Caenorhabditis elegans: one gene and its partners. The protein of the gene in region 2 interacts with the protein of the main gene of each other region in a pairwise test. Each region holds a gene or a part of one and is shown on either strand. Other genes may lie near its edges.

Region 1 (5,707 bases), on a different chromosome or scaffold from region 2:
TTTTTCTCATCATCACTTCAGAAGAAACGGACAACGGTCGCTGCATTCCACGAGGGTGTGAACTATGCAGAGCTCGAACTCAAAAGAGGCTTCGCAGCACAGCCATCAAGTACCGTATCAATCAGCTCTGTTAATAGTAGACCGCATAGGGGCACTGCTTCTGTTCAGTCTGTCGTCTAGCTAATCTATGTGTACATCCACTATCCTCCGTGTTACCTGTTTTTTAAAAACCGTATTGAAAAAGTTTTAATGGCCATATTTGAAATTTTAATTACAAATGTACCTTTCTGCGTTTTTTCTTTCTTTTTCATTTTTCACTTTCCCTTCTAGAACCATCCCTTGTTTGATTTTTTCTTCGAGCATTGTCAGCCATTCATGCAACTTCGGGTATTATATGCTATCTCTATCACCTCTCATTTCCCTCCACTTAAATTTCGTGGCCTCAGGCGGTGTTATCACCCATTTCCCTTTTTGGTGTTTTACCCCGACATTTTTTTTTGAAATGGAATAAAGGTTTTATCAAAGATACATTCTTCCCATAAATTTTAAATTTACTATTTCAGAACGTAAAAAGAAATGAAATGGAAAATGCGGATGCACATTTAAAAAATACAAAAATAAAAAAATAAAGAAGATTAAATATACAAACAGATAATTCTCATAATTCTCACGGAGAAGATAAAATTAATCAAACATCGAAAACTGGGTTGACATGAACGTGACGGCTGGCCTGTTTTTCCTTGCTTTCAAGCTTCTCGATATAATTGCTGGAATCAATGATCACTGGAATAAACTTTGTACATTAGATTTTTTTGTAACTCTTTTGAAATCCCTACTATGATAGTCCTGCGAGTCGGTGGGGACGCCCAAGAATTCCTTTCTTTCCGCACGCATCAAAGCATATGTGATAGAGAGAATAGTGCTGGAAAAACAAACCATAGATTTTACAGTTCAAAAGTTAGAATCTGAGACGTGTTGATTTATAGTTTGATCTACAAAAAAAGGCGGGAAGTTTTTTTCCAGAAAAATTGAGACGTTAGCACCATGCGAAATCAGATGAGATGTCTGCGTCTCAACTCCCGCATTTTTTGAAGATCAAATCGAAATATGACATTCTGAATCCACGTGATCTAGCTTACTTACACAACAATGATCATTCCCATACAGATGACAAAGACTGAACCCAAGTTTTTAATGAATAGTGGTGAGCTTTCTGTCTCATCATTCAAGATCTTTCTTCTATTTTTGAGCGACTTTCTGAAAAATGGAAATTTCTCAAATAAAAATCATTGAAACATTGACTTACGCGATGAGCTGGTCAAATTCCTCAATCTCCTCGGCTTCGACAACTTCGACGTTCTGTATTTCAAAAAAATTTCAGAAATCCGGGTAGATTTGCAGACATACCGTTCTGATTGGTTTCACTTGATCATCAACCCAATTGTCCCACTTGATTTCACGCTCGTTTGACTCTTCAGAGGAGTCATAATCGTCTTGGTTGATTTTGCGCACAGGGTTTGGTAGGGCTTCAATCTCTCGGAATGTGGCCTCGGCTTCCTGAAATTAAAATGATGAATTTAGTTCTGAAAATTTAAAAATTGGGCACTCAATTTTCATGGTCAATTTCAAAACATAAGAGCGAGATATCCCAAGTTTACATCAAAAAGTTAGCTTCACACAATAATTTTTTTGTAGATTATAGATGATACTAAAAGTGAGGGAATTTATGACGGCAGTTTCAAAAATGTTTAACCACCCCAACGGTTTTAACTCGGAGCCACTTTTTCTGGCATCTTCTCAATTGTGTGCGAATTTTGCTTAAATTAAACACTTAGAAAATCAACAAAAACAAAAAGAAAAAAGTTAGTTCAAGAAAATTGGGTCGTCAAAAAGTCTTCAAAATTTTTTTGAGTATACAAAACTTTTCAATTTCTTATTTCAATGATTTGCTCCGACATATTTCAGAAGCGGGATAGCTCAGTTGGTAGTGGTGGTCGCTAGCAATCTGGAGGCCACGAGTTCAAGTCCGGCCTCACCCTTATATCCCAGTGAGAGCACTACCAGGCAGTGTTCCTGACTTCCAGATCCGCAGTGCATAGCACAATTTAAATATGCTAACTTTATTGTTTTGTTGTTTTCCACCTACCTCATGAGAAACAATTGTAGTTTTTCCTTTCGCAATTTTAACAGAAGACGGAACTTTTTCACTTTTTTCAATCATGTAAGCTTTGACTTTTTCCGAAACAATTTCGCTTCCAATCTCATTTTCATCAGTCTTCTCCTCTTCGCCAATTTCTTCCGAAGAACTTGAATCATCTCCTTCTTCATAAGTCGGGTCTGGTAGCTGGTGCTCTTGACTATCGTACACATCTTCTAAACTGTTTCTCGCCATATCGTAGTTGATCTCATTTGAATCAATCATCTCAAGATTTTCACCTTTGATGAAATTATCTTTAATTGGTAACTCTTCTACCTCCTCACTATCCTTTTCATCATCAAAAACATTGACAAGCTCGTCTTTCAGTTTGGTCATCCCGATGAAATCTAGGCTAGACATAAGACACTTGGTTTGGTAAGAGACAAGCACTCTGAAACATGGGCTAACTTTGTAATAGAATCAGCCTCATTTTATGACATACTCATCAGAAATTTTGTCCAAGTTTGGTTTGTTTCCACACCATCCACAAACTGTGTTTGAAGTATCCGTGCATTTTGCTCTAAAAACTTTAATAGTTTTTCACAAAAGGGAAATTTTCGACGAAATGCGAGTTTTCCGTACGAGATAATAAAATATGTTTAATATATATATATATGACGTCATAAGAAACTGAAAATAAATATTGTTTATCAAGCTTGACCCCTGACTAAATTTTTGCATGATAATGTTCTACAACGGTTGCATGCAGATTTTGAAACTCATAAACTTTCATATTAGAAAATTAATTGAACCTTATAAACGGGTATTTTGAAGTTAAGGTACCTAAATAAATTTTTTAAAAACCCATTTTCTGAAAAACATTCCTACTGATGTGTAAATTTCAAAATTTGCCAATCTCGGCAAATTCGGCAAATCTGCATTTTCGAGTTTTGCTGTGCTGGGCAAATTTGGCATATTTGCCGCACACCCATGCTCCAAATGCCGAGTTAATTTGAAAACCCATGGTGAGTTGAACTCACTATGTTCAATGTTTTGCTAGTCACAAGTTTGAATAAACAAATGCCCGGAAAATTGATTGCTATCAAATTTCTGTTTTCAAACTGAAGTACTGTTTATTCTTATCAATCACCTTGTTACTCAATAGCACTAAGTTTTCACGACACCATATGACACCGAGGTGTGCATGACATGCTCTTCACAGTTATCAGTATTCTGACATCAATGCTAAATGACAAGACCGTTTGAATACACGGGCTGTCAGATTGTTTTATGTTTTACAATTTCATAAGGAATTGGTTTTTCAAGTATCTAAAGATCTAACCGCTAAATCTGGCAGTTTACAGACTTTTTATTACAGATTCCACGATGAGACAGTGTCCCGTAATTTTTGAATGAATTTGGCATAAAAAATATCAACAAAAAATTACTTACAGCTCGTACATGAAGTCACCACATGGAGTGCATTGGAAGCAGACGCCTCTGAAGTTGTAGTGCCCCTAAAACAAATTGAGAACTTACAAAAAAACAATTTAAACATACATCAAAGCATTCGGTAACGTAAGGGGACTCATGTAGCTTGCTGGCCACCTGAATAAAAATTTAACTAGAATATTTTCAAAGTGTACAATAGGTCTCACCAGAGTGACTGTACCAACAAAAAGTAGTAACTGCAGTGCTCCTCTCATTGCGTGCCGCGTGTAAAGGACTGACGCTCTTATCTCAGCGACGTCTTTTTAAATAATTTCAGATTGATAACAGTTCTATTTGTATGGTGTGGTTAGAGAAAAAAAGGTGGTGAACTTTGGAAGCCAATGTTAATTTTCTGAGTTGCGAGGGAGGTGAGTTATGAGGTGGAAAATTAAAAATATGAAAACATGGCAATTGATAGTTTATTAAAAGTGAAGACAAATAACCATTGAAGCACAAATAGAAAAAGTTTCTGCTCAAGTTTCCAAAAACACGCGGATTTGTTTTGTGAAAAAAATTATTAACTATTTAAAAAGATGACATTCTCCATTAAAACAAATTCGAAAACATAGTTGATGAAAATTTTCTTGAAAATTCAAAAAAAAAATTTTATCACTTGGAAAGTGATCTTGCTCTTGTCTCCTAATTATGATAAATATACAACATTTATAATTGAAACTAACAAAAATATTTTTTCGAAATTTGCATGTAGGAATTTTGTTTAAATACACCAATAATAATAATAAAATGACCAAATAAAACACTCCAAACAATTTTGGAAAGTTTGAGTCAAACGTTTGGCGAATTCCAAAATTTTCAAACCGTGAGCTTTAAAGGAAATCCAGAGCAATGCAGTATGTTCCGATTTTCAGAATTTATTAACAAAAATATTGTAGATGAAGTATTGAAAATCTGTGAGTAAGTTCGATTGCGAAAAAATATACAAGTTGAGAAATAGGAAAAGTTTTGGAGAAGAACTGTGGTACGTTGCACTTTGGAAAAAAAATCAGAATCTCCAATTACTTCTATGAGAGTTGAGAGAGTGCACAATCGTGAATGTTAAAATTTATTAAGTTTACACGCCGCTACCAAAAGTACTGTAGGTCGCATTTTTCACAAATGAGCGTTGAAACGAGATTTACGAGCTATCAAAAGTACAGAATATTTCCGGCTTTTAGAACATTTGTATCATTTTAACTGCAGTCACATGAATATATACCATGACTAATAAAAATATCACACATTTTCGTATGCTGGAAAACAAATATTTCATAAGAGAAATGATAATATTGATCAATACTGCAAAATTGTATCCAAAAGCTGGTTCAGTGTTTGACAATCAAAATCCTTGATCCAGCCTAATCAAATATTTGAAGAATAAAAATGCACGGAGTGAATCTAGTAAACTTTACCAGAATAAATCAAGGACTTATATATTTTTGAATTCAAACATATTCAATTTATATTGAAAATTGAATTTTAAAAAAGTTAGGTACAAACGTTTGAAAAATTTATATTATTTGAGACACAAAAAAAACATACCACAAAACTTATTTCTCACTCTAATAATTTATTGCGACTAGTTTTCTATTTTATTTAGTCTTGTGACTAGTCCATTGGCAAAAGTTGCATCTCACCATTTGCATACTCTCACTCACAAAACAATCAAAAATGACAGGAGGGAAGTTATGATAAAAAGCAAATATTGACCAAAATTTTACTGTGTTGTTGGGTCAAAATTGTATCGATATCTAGACAACTGCCCAGATGCAGTCAAAAGACAGAGAGTACGGGCGGCTGCCCACTAATCGTCGTGCCTGTGTGCCCATCAACTGCTCTGGTTGCTCTCGCATCTGTAAGGCGGTGTCTGAATAAAAACTGTGCGTTCTCATGTCCATCTGTGCTTTTTACAACATTTTTTGGTCACTTGTTCTGTTGACAGTGATTTCATAATATTCCATCAAGACGACGGTCTCAATCGTTTTCCGATTAAACCTAAAACAGTTTGTTTTTGACAACACGGTAGTTGTTGTCTTATCAGTGCATTATGGAACATGTTTCCATCAAACATTAAATTGAACA
Region 2 (6,424 bases):
CCAATGGAAGCCACTTCAAAAGCTCCAGAGATGTCAGTCGCTGAGCCAAAAAGTATAATTGAGAAGCTTCTGGAGAAAAAGGCCGAAAAATCGGCGAAATTGGCGGCCAAGAAGCTGAAGAAGAGAAGCAAGAAGAAGGAGGCAAAGAAGATTTCTGATGGAGTTTTTCAAGTTAAAATGAAGAAAAGGTTTATTTTTTGCTAATTTGAGTGAAAAAGTGAGAAAATTCCAATTTTTCTCTGCAAAATCGATATATTTTTGGCGAATTTGCATAATTTTGAGCTATTTTCGGCCGATTTTATGAAAAATTTTACCAAAACAATTTTTTGAAGCATTTTTGTGAAAACTTCTTTCCTTTTCTGCCTAATCTTTAAGCCTAAGCCTATGCCTATGCCTATCCCTATCCCTAAGCCGAAGCCTAAGATTAAGTCTAAGCCTAGGCGTAAGCTTAAGCCTAAGCCTATGTCTATGCCAATGCCTACGCCTATGCCTATGCCTGAACCTATACCTTAGCCTATGCCTATGCCTAAGCCTATGCCTGAACCTATACCTTAGCCTATGCCTAAGTCTATGCCTAAGCCTATACCTATGCTCAAGCCAAAGCCTGAGCCTAAGCCTAACCCTATGCCTGAACCTATACCGTAGCCTATGCCTAAGCCTAAGCCTATACCTGAACCTATACATTATCCTATGCCTATGCCTAAGGCTTAACCTATGCCTATGCATCTTCCTATGCCTAAGCATAAGCATGAGCTTAAGCCTGAGCCTATGCCTATGCCTACGCCTACTAATTTTTTCTCATTTCAGCAAGGCAAAATTCAACGTTGTGACTCTCAAAGCTGGTGTCCAGAACATTTTAGAGCCACAAATCAACTTCCGCGAGGAGCTTCTCAAATCAAGAACCGCCGGAACTCGTCTTGCCGATACTGAAAAGTTTTTGCAACGTGGCAAATGGGTCTCGAAGCGATAATTTTCTCCTTTTTTTGTTAATTTTTCTGTTATTATTATCATTTCCAACTTGTTTTTTGTTATGAAAATGCGATTTTGTGTTTTAAACCGTGTTTTTTTTTTGCATTTTCCATTTTCGTCTCATGCCGTCGGTCCGAATTCGGTCAAGGTTATTTCTTATACCAACTATCCAATTTCTCTTCATCTCTTCACCGTTTATGTGAATTCCTTCAGATTTTCTTTTTGAAAAATGCCGATTTTCAAGCTAAAAAAGCTTCAAAACCGTGATTTTCCACAAAATTGCCTCTCTCCACTAGAGACGCAGATGGTGAAAGCAGTGTGTAAACACACAGCTCAAAACGTGGCTTTTCGCATTCTAAATAGATTGGCGTTGCGTTTAAAAGCCAATTTTTTGTGTGAAAATTGGTTTTTTCTGGTTTGAAATTGTGCAACGTGGAGTTAATTTTTTCTAATTTTTCCTTAAAAAATTTAAAAAAAAAGTTTTTTCCAGGTTTTTTGAAAATTAATATTAAAAAAAAAAGGAAAATATTACACAGACGCGAAATGTCGCGTCAAGAATATGGTACCAGGTCTCAACGCGATAATTTTTGGTTGAATTAAATTCGACATGCGCTTTTAAAGAGTACTGTAGCTTCAAACTTTAGTTGCTGAGGAATTTTCATAGTTTTTCACACTATTTGTTAAAATTATTTTTTTTTTTAATAATTAAATTAAAAATATTTTTAATAAATTAATCAATTTTGGCAAATTGTGAGAAAAACTGAATAAACTGAAAATTCCCCAACAACTAAAGTTTGAAGCTACAGTAATCTTTAAAGGCGCACGCTCGTTTTGTATCTGACAGAAAATTGTCGCGTCGAGACCCGATACCGTAGTTTTGGCGCAAAATTTCGCGTCGGTGTGATATTTTTTTTTTCAATTTTTGACCAATTCCGTTAATAATGGGTCTCGCCACGATAAAATTTCCTCTCTTTTTTTTACAAATAATTAGTTTTAAAATCAATATTTCCAGGTAAAAACCATGAATCGAGCTAACGACACGAGCTCCAATCTGAAGCTCATCTCATTGGTCGTGCTCATTGTGCAAACCACCGCACTTGTTCTCACCCTGAGATACAGTCAAACGCAGGTAGAAAATGCAGAAAAAATAGTGAAAAAATACCACAAAAATGGAAAAAATAGCTTAAAATAAATAAAAAACTATTTTTTGGAATTTCAATTTTGTTTAATTTTCGGATTTTCAAAATTTTTAAAATACCTTTTAAAAAAGTTTAATTTACGATTTTTTAGGCATATAATTATAATTTTTTTCGTAGAAAAAAATTATTTTCCAGAAATCCGAAGGACCCCGCTACCTGTCCTCCACCGCTGTCGTCTGCGCTGAAATTATCAAGCTTATCACATGTTTCTTCGTGATCTACCGGAATAATGGATATCGGTTCAGTGGAATGCTCAATGAGCTCAATCGGGAAATTTTCGCGTCTCCGCAGACCAGGGCTGACTCGTTGAAGGTGAAAATTAGAATTTTTCGGAGATTTTTGGAAAAAAATCAAAAGAATTTTAGACAGAATTTTTTAGCGATTTTCAAAAATTCGAAATTTTCAAAATTTCAATAATTTTTGTATTTTTCCAGTTATTGGAATTAAAAAAATTTAAATGTAGCTTTAAAAAAATCAAAATTTTCAATTTTTTTTAATTTTCAAAAAGTAATTATTAATTTTTTAGAACTTTTCTTTCGAAATTTACAGAATTTCAAGGGTTTCTAGGAATTTATAGACATTTTTCAAAAATTTTCGATTTTTTTTGTATTTTAAGAATTTTTTAAAAATTAATTTTTTAAAAAATTGAATTAATTGAAATTTTTGAAATTTTTTAGTTTCTAACTTATTTCGAATTTTTAGAAATTTTGAAAGTTTGAAATTATCTGGAAAATTCAAAAATTCAAAAAATTGAATTTTAGGATTTTTTAGAAATTAAAAAAACAAAACTTGCGAAATATAATTTTTTATTTAAAAAAAATTAATTTCTAATTTTTTTTCCAAATTTCAGGTCGCAGTCCCAGCCATCATGTATGTTATCCAGAACAATTTGCTCTTTTTCGCTTTGAAAAAATTGGACGCCGCTACTTATCAGGTACAGTTTTCATGGTAAATTTTTAAAAAATTTTTTCAGGCAAAACTAACGAGTTTTTAACAAAATTTTGATTTTTCCGAGTTTTCAAAAAAAAATTGCACTGAAAATTTGACGAAAAAATGTTTTAAAAACCTTCAAAAATTAGAAAAATGGCCGAAAATCTTTTTTTTTTTCAAATTTTTTAAATAACTTTCCCCAAATTCCAGGTGACATATCAACTGAAAATCCTCACCACCGCGATTTTCTCCGTCACAATGCTCGGAAAATCGCTTCACCGGTACAATTGGATGGCTCTGATCCTTCTGACAGCTGGAGTTGCCCTGGTACAGTACCCCTCTGGAGATTCTACTACTTCTAAGAGTACCGCAGCTGAACACGATGCTTCTGATAATATTTTAGGTAAAAATGAAAATTTTAAGCTCGTTTTTCGATTTAAAAAAAATTTGAAATTTTATTTCCAAAAGAAATTGGAAAATTATAGTAATTGTAAATTAAAAATTTTTTTTTATTCAAATATCGATGTTTTTAAACTGAAAATATTTATTAAAAAATTCAATTTTCGTAGATTTTAATTTTTTTTTTAAATCTAGATTTTTTCAAAAATTAAACCTGGTTAATGCATAATTTTTGCTATTCTTTTCGAAAAAATTCTAAATTTTTTGACGAAATAAAAATCCCAATTTTTTTTTCCAAAAATCTATTTTTTGGGAGAAAAACTACTAAAATTCAATTTTTGTAGGAAAGTTTTAGTGAAAAACGTTTTAAAAATGTTCCTAAAAGTGTATGTACGTTTTAAAAGACAACATTTAAGAAATCGATAAAAAACCATTCAAAAATTTAAAAACGAATAAATCAGCAAAAAAACGGCAAAAACCATTAAAAAAACAAAAAAAAAGAAAAACTGGAAATTACAAAAAAAAAATTCAAAAAATGTGGAAAAATATCAATTTTCAATTGGAAACTGAAAATCTCAATTTTTTATTTAGAACGATTTTTCCGTTCCAAACTGGAAAAAATTACTAAAAAATCAGTTTCTATAGGAATTTTTTAGTGGAAAACTACGTTTCACAATTCAAAAAATCAACCTAAAAAAAATCGTTTCCAGGCCTCGGAGCAGTTCTAGCCGCCTGCTTCTCATCCGGATTCGCTGGTGTCTACTTTGAAAAAATCCTGAAAACATCGAAAGTCTCCCTGTGGATCCGTAATATTCAGTTGGCATTTTTCTCGGTATTCGGAGCACTTCTCGTCTGTTGGCTCTATGATTGGCAGGCAATTAGTGATGATGGATTTTTGAGAGGATATAATGGAGTTATTTGGATTGTCGTGCTTTTGCAGGTTGATTTATTGGAAAAATTTGAAAAAATAATGCTAGAAAATTGAAAATTTAATTTTAAAATTATAATATTCGGTTTTATCGAATTTTTTTAAGTTTTTGTTTTTGAAAATCGGAATTTTGTCTTATTTTTCTTTTAAAAAATTCAAACTAATTTCAAATTTATAGAAAATGAATTTTCCAGATTTTCTGTTTTTTTCCAGATTCTCTTTTTCCAGATTTTCTTTTTCTTTTTTTTTCAGATTTTCAGTGAAAATTACATTTTTTTCACAAGTTTTTCACAAAAAAACTTGCAATTTCTAATCTAAAAAATTTATTTATCTTTTATTGAATCGGTTGTTTGTTTTACAAAAATCCTTCAATTTTTCTTAATTTTTTTTTGCCAAAATTTCAAAAAAACCATTTTCTCTCAGAAAAACCTTCAATTTCCTATTAAAAATCTGAAAATCAAATAAATTTCAAATTTTCACAGAAAAAGAATTTGCTCCGATTTTCTGCGAGAAGTTTGATTTTTTTTTTGATTTAATAATTTTTAAACAAAATTTGAAATTTGTGAAGATCCCTACAAAAAAAATTTTTTTCTGAAAAATTTTTCAAAAAATTATTTTGTTTCATCGAAATTTATTTCTTATTTATTTTGAATAAAAATGCTAAAATTCTGATTTTTTATAAAAAATCCGAATTTTCAGTTTGAAATTAAAAAATTATTAATTTTTCGATTTTTCCATTTATTTTGAAAAAAATTGAATTTTTCATAATTTTTTTACAAAAAATTGAAAATTCAGAGCTACAAAAACTTTTTTTTTTCTGAAATTTTCTGCAAAAATTAAACAAAAAAATCAAAAAACTTTTTTTTAATTCAAAAATTTCCAGGCTTACGGAGGGCTCGTGATTGCTCTCGTCGTCAAGTACGCTGACAATATTCTCAAAGGATTTGCAGTCTCGTTATCAATTATTCTCTCATCATTCACTTCATGGCTTGTTCTCGGAGATTTGACTATTACAACGTATGGGATTTTTTGGAAATTTTTTTTTGAAAAAGAATGGAAAATTTGGACGAAGTTCCGTTTTTGATATAATTTAAATTGAAATTTTTAAAAAAATTGACCAAAACGAATGAAAATTTTACTTGAAATCCATTTAAAAAAATTGTTTCAGAACCTTCGCCATCGGAGCCACCGTTGTTATCTTTGCAACATTCCTCTATGGCCACGAGCCAAAATCGACACCAGCCGAAGCTCATAATGCCTGATTTTTCTGTGATTTCTGTGATTTCCCAACTCCCTCGCTTATATGATTGCATTTTTCTAGTCTAAGTGCAGTTTAATATCAATATTTGTTGGTTTTCTCTTTCTGTAAGTGTAGGGAAGCACACACGTCATACAAATTGTAGAAAAATTGTCAATAATATCGTAAGTTTAAATTAAATAAATTATTGAATGAGCATACTATGACTTTTTAAAGAAAATTGAAGAAGAATTAAAGAATTGAGAAATTAAAATGTTTACAAAAAATTCAAAGTTCTCTTTAAGACATTTCGAAGAAATAATTTTTCATAAGGAAATGCCTCCGAACAATATGAAATTTTACTTTATTAAATTCTAACTGTTTAACAATTTGAGAAAAATAATTTTTCTTGACCACAAAATTATGATTATGAAGGCTGAGAAATGGGAAAAGCAAAAAAAAAACAAAAATACCAAAAGTTGCTGCAAATGACTAATTCATTTATGCTGAATTCAGAAAATCTAGGTGTAACACGTCGAATTATCGATAATAATTAAGAAACCTTCAGATTTTTCCGTGAAAAAGTTATTTACTGCAATTACTCAATTTTTTTGATTTTTTTTCCAGTTAGTTTCGACATTTTTTTAATTCGATAACTTTCGAGGTGTCGAAAGTTTTTCGTGAATACATATTTGGTGCTCTCTGTGTCTCTCCGCCCTCGGCACATCGGACCACCATCTCTTGTTTTGCAGGTGTCTCGTT
Region 3 (4,873 bases), on a different chromosome or scaffold from region 2:
ATGATTTAAAATATAAACGTAAATTATAACCACCAACTAAATAGTTTTCTAACAATTGGTCATTTCAAAGTGGCTGAGTCACTGTATCACGAGGTGTGAGTGGAACTTTTTTTCTGAACATTTTGAAAATAAAAGAATGTATGTCTCATCCGACGCCATTATATTAATTTTTCATCGATTGAAAAATGTGGAAATGGGGAAAAATGGTTAAACATGTAGAATGCACTCTGGAACTTTGTGCTATTACAAAATTTAAACAAAAATGTTGAGATCGAAATATTTCAGCTTGAAAAAGTCTGAAGAGGCGGGAAATCAATTTCACGTATTTTGTTTGGACTGTAAAGACGCTCTATTATTAGTTTTAGACGGTTTGTTATACTTTTTAACATTAAAACTAAAACTTGAAAGAAATTTAGAAAAAGTATGCAAAACAAATAAGGACTTGCTTTTATTTTTTTTTTGAAATTCCTATTCATTTTTGCTATGACCTAAAATATTTATATAGTTACATGATTTATAATATATGATGACCAAATATGATAATAGAACTTATCAAAAAACTTTGGACAAAATCTTATTTCGAGTCAGAAGCGGTAAAAAGTTATAATCTCTACAATGCGGAAATTATTGAATATAAGTATTTTGAATATAATCAAAGCACAAAACTGGATGAAAAAATATTTTTGAAAAAATAAAAATAGAAAAAATATATAAATACTGAGTTTTCACAGCTTTTTTACTCAAAATAAAAAACATTTTCAAAATTTTTTTAAAGTTTTATTATGATATTTGGTTATTTTATAAAAAATATATTAAATTCATTTGCTACAAAAAATGTTTTTTGGAAAAAAAACATACAAAATTTGTTCAGCAAGAATTTGCGCGGGTATTCAAATTTTGAGAAAAAAATCCGGTTAATTATTTGCACTTATTACGACAAAGTTTAAAACCCAGTAGTTCATTCTCCAGTAAATTTTCAATTCACATCACTATTTCGTAAAGGGAGCTGTGAACGTAATTAATCGACTTTTTGAAACATTAAATTGGCAAATAAAAGGAATATAGTTATGTTTGCCCAAAAGAAATCAAAATAACAAATTGAGGGCACAACTAAACGTAGAAACGTTGAAGAGTATGTCAACACTTGTGGGGTAGCCTCCTCCCGAACGCGGGGGTCTAATGCGGCGCAACCGTAAAAAGTATTGAGATACACATCAACCCGAAAGGTTAGAGGTGGTAAAAATGGTCAAAAGAACAATGGTGACAAAAAGCGAGTTGACGAGAGGGGAGATATATAGGCAACCTGCTCATCTGTGAAAAAAACGATTGAAATGTTTTTCAAGGTCTTTGCACTCACACCTCACTCAAACGCGCCAAACATAATTCATGACGACGATCTATGAAGCGAAAAAGCAAAAAAAAAAGAAAATGCCTTTTGCAGTTTTTGTTCTTCTCGACAACTTTGAACTACACAGAGCAAGCAGCGGGAGAAGTGCAAGTATTCCAAAAGTATGTAAAAGCCATCCATCTATGGGGCAAGGGTTGAAAGATGAGGGAAGAAAGAAGCGGGGGGCAAGAAGACGCTTTGGTGGTGAAATAGGGGCGTCGATGTCAATCAAACCACTTTGGAAGATTGACTAAAACACTCTTTTCTTAGTCAACAGGAAATGGAAAAGAAATCGAGCGCCGCGTTTTGATTTTGCCTAGTTTCGGAAAAACACAGAAAACTGCAGGAACGCGGAAAATCAAGATCGAGGCGCGCGAAAAAACGGCTAGGCGACGAAGAGAGGATTGGCCGGACGCGAACGGACACACACACTCATTTGTACGCAAACTGTGGTCGTAATAGGTGGCAAGGTTTCAAGCTCTGAATTCTTTTTTGCAGGTACGGAAGTGGTGAACAAAAACATAAAATAGAGCAAAACTATTTCCTATTGTCCACCTTACTGTCTTATATGTAGTCAATGGAAAATTGAAAAAGCACATAAATGTCAATATACAGGGGGAGACGTTTCTCTTATCATTGCACCGTTGACCATCATAGTCGGAAATGGAGTTGTTATCAAAGGGTAAAGTTCCACTTTTTTGAGTTGATTAAAACTGGTTAATGTTTGATTAATTATGAGAACATTCTAGTGCGGTAAAACGTTTTTTCAATGAAGATCTCCCCCTATCGGATTGCAGTTCAAAATCAAAGTTTTTACATCAAGAAAAATAAAAAAGTGTGAAAATTCTATTCTACAGTTTGTAAAACAGTAATCCACACGGCCAAAAACGGCCAAAACAATGAGAGGCATATAGGAGAGGAAAAAATGTTTTTGCCTTCTAACTGAGCATTGTGATGTCTGGTGAATCAGACAGAGAAAAAGAACACAGTAAACAAGTTTCCGCGCTTCAATTAGCTCTTTTGAGATATTTTCACGCGAAAAATCAATATAAATTGATATACATCAAGTGAATGTTGAAATTGAACCATAAATCATATTGTTTTTAATAATTTAAAAATAATCATTTTGTGATTAAATTAAAAAGAAAACACTTTTCTTGCAATTTGAGGGAAACGACAGATAAAAGAGAAAAAACCATGATGATAATTAGAAAAGGAGTATAAAGAAGGAAATTATTATTTCAACATAAAAACTTTTGGAAAACTATTTTGCGCAATTAACCCAATAATAATAGCATTAATAACAAAACAAAAATGCATATAAAACCATACAAACTCGAAAAAAAATCGATAACAGCTAAGATGGATTATAAAAAGAGCAAATTGGCTCGTAAAACTAATAATCGAGCGGTATTGGCTATTGCGGTGCACAGAAAATGGCCGGATTCCGGGTGGTCGGCAGACAATGGCTAATACGCGCAGTACGCAAACACGCGCACGCAATAATGCGTACCCCCTTTCGCCATGCTTGTTCACCCCTCTCTTACCACTAGTCCTTTTAACTCGGACAGCTGTCCAATGCGGCGATCCCTCATTAGAGTTGGTTTGTCGTTCTGAATTGCATGAAATATTGTATAGATGTTGTAATATGAGGTTATATCAATGTTACAAAGGATTTTAAGTAAGGAAAAAAATCTTCTTTTCATTAATGAATTATAAGATATTGAATTCACTAGATGACCATAGAGCACACAAAGACACAGAAGGTTCAGAAAATAGTACACAATAGAATGAAAAATAATTAACAATATTTTTTTACAGGGAGTCTCGAGTTATCACATCACACGACTGGAAATTTATTGGACTAAATGTTACAACTAAAAAAGATTAGAGATGGGGAAAAGGAGGCGGAGACTAGAATTTATACACTTTGGCCAGTGTACTTTCACCTATATGTTTGAAAAAATTTAGTTCATACATCTTGAAGTTTTTAGATAATGATGATAATATTTTCTAAGGAATGATTGATATTGCAATGGAATTTGAAATTGTTTTTATCATATTTCAAAATCAGTTTCAATTTTCATCATTATCTTAAAATAGTTATATACACATTATCATGCATCTAGAAAGGACCGGTAGAAATGTTATTTGAAAAGCAAAATGTTTGAAAATAGTGAGTAGAACGCGATAGAAGTCTGGATGATCATCCTGTCCATAATAGTATTATAATCGAAACAGTTGGTTGGTTGAGTTGATAAGCCTCCCTCCGTTTGCACTGAACTCGTTGTTGTTTTTGTTGTTGTTGTAACGGATTATAATTAATCTAGCAATGATTGTTCGTAGGTTTGAGAACTGAACAAATACAGATTATTATTGAATGTTATGTATTAATACTGAAAGCCACTCACGGTTTCTTCAAAAGTTTCTGATGGGGATAGTCGGTTTGGTTGTTTGATGATTCATCTGAAACCAATCTCCTCGACACATTGGCATCTGAGTAGGCTTTTGTCAGGAATCTGCAAGATTTTCTCAACTCAAGGTTTTGATTTTTTCACAAAGATGATAAAACGAATGACTCACTGCTCATCAATTTCTTGCTCATTGTTTTCTTTATCTTTCCTATCTTCTTTCGGCGATGTCTCCACATCATAGCTATCAAAATCCGAGTTCAAGAGCAGATAATTGTGTGAATTGGCAGGCCGGAATTTGTAGCCAACGATGATGAAAAATGCGAAGGTAACCATTTCGACTGCAGCGACAATGGTCCATTGGAGGTTCACAGGCATTAAGTGCTGAACGGGAATAATTATGCACACATATGTATGATTAAAATTAGAGTAGGAGCCGGTGACGATATTGTTAGAACACGCTCCTAGGTTACCAAAAAGACCGAATATCATAGTAAATCTTTTACAAATGTTGAATTCATAGTCAAAAAGTGACATTTACTGAGATTTTGCCATTTTTTTTGGCACTGTCCCAATCTATACTTACATTGTTTAAAAACCGATGTTTGAAACATACGTAGACTATAAAATCCAAAGGTAGTTTTTTTTTTTGACCGACCACTTCAATGAAGTAGTAAAACCTGAGTAATTACCAGTTTTTGAAACGAAATATCAAAAATTTAAAAAAATTGTATAAAGTTGTACTGTGATATTTGGAATTTTGGCACCACAAAAGTGGGGTTTCAACACTTTTCCCACTGGCGCTGGCTTGAAGCTAAGAATTTTTTTTGTACATGTTTAATTGTTATAATTCTAAAACTCACGAGTAATATGAAGCCAAAAAACCTCGTGCAGTAGATGTAGACGACAACGAGAATATAAAATTGTCGAAATAAACGTAGTTTTTCCAAATTGGCTGCGGCTTTTCCATCTGTAGTGGCTCCCTCTACCAAGTGTTGAATTGACCTAAAATTTATAAAAAAATAATTAAATTTCAGTATTTCCAGTATCAGTGTTATTTTTCTATCAAAATTGG

The links. Proteins that work in one complex are often made in the same cells at the same time.
Region 1: the proteins of nstp-4 (region 2) and T02C5.1 interact in a two-hybrid assay, tested with the Caenorhabditis elegans proteins (one large-scale study listed by BioGRID).
Region 3: the proteins of nstp-4 (region 2) and C15H9.4 interact in a two-hybrid assay, tested with the Caenorhabditis elegans proteins (one large-scale study listed by BioGRID).

Annotation. Positions count from the first base shown.
Region 1 is NC_003284.9:2,693,071-2,698,777, reverse strand, and holds T02C5.1 (TNFR-Cys domain-containing protein), read right to left. Parts: upstream 3,856-5,707; 5' UTR 3,844-3,855; coding exon 3,796-3,843; intron 3,746-3,795; coding exon 3,698-3,745; intron 3,655-3,697; coding exon 3,590-3,654; intron 2,718-3,589; coding exon 2,640-2,717; intron 2,589-2,639; coding exon 2,147-2,588; intron 1,558-2,146; coding exon 1,408-1,557; intron 1,360-1,407; coding exon 1,307-1,359; intron 1,258-1,306; coding exon 1,144-1,257; intron 923-1,143; coding exon 837-922; intron 784-836; coding exon 689-783; 3' UTR 505-688; downstream 1-504. Other genes in the region: igcm-3 (Ig-like domain-containing protein), read left to right, coding at 22-180.
Region 2 is NC_003280.10:386,852-393,275, forward strand, and holds nstp-4 (UDP-N-acetylglucosamine/UDP-N-acetylgalactosaminetransporter nstp-4), read left to right. Parts: upstream 1-1,981; 5' UTR 1,982-1,990; coding exon 1,991-2,098; intron 2,099-2,303; coding exon 2,304-2,480; intron 2,481-3,018; coding exon 3,019-3,102; intron 3,103-3,308; coding exon 3,309-3,501; intron 3,502-4,207; coding exon 4,208-4,437; intron 4,438-5,308; coding exon 5,309-5,442; intron 5,443-5,593; coding exon 5,594-5,687; 3' UTR 5,688-5,881; downstream 5,882-6,424. Other genes in the region: C03H5.3 (SRF-dependent transcription regulation-associated protein), read left to right, coding at 1-188, 808-970. UniProt on the Caenorhabditis elegans protein: Uridine diphosphate-N-acetylglucosamine (UDP-GlcNAc) transporter in the Golgi apparatus. UDP-N-acetylgalactosamine (UDP-GalNAc) transporter in the Golgi apparatus.
Region 3 is NC_003284.9:6,095,774-6,100,646, reverse strand, and holds the start of C15H9.4 (Transmembrane and coiled-coil domains protein 2), read right to left. Parts: upstream 3,005-4,873; 5' UTR 2,935-3,004; intron 1-2,934. Other genes in the region: C15H9.5 (GOST seven transmembrane domain-containing protein), read right to left, coding at 3,709-3,742, 3,799-3,906, 3,971-4,182, 4,662-4,803.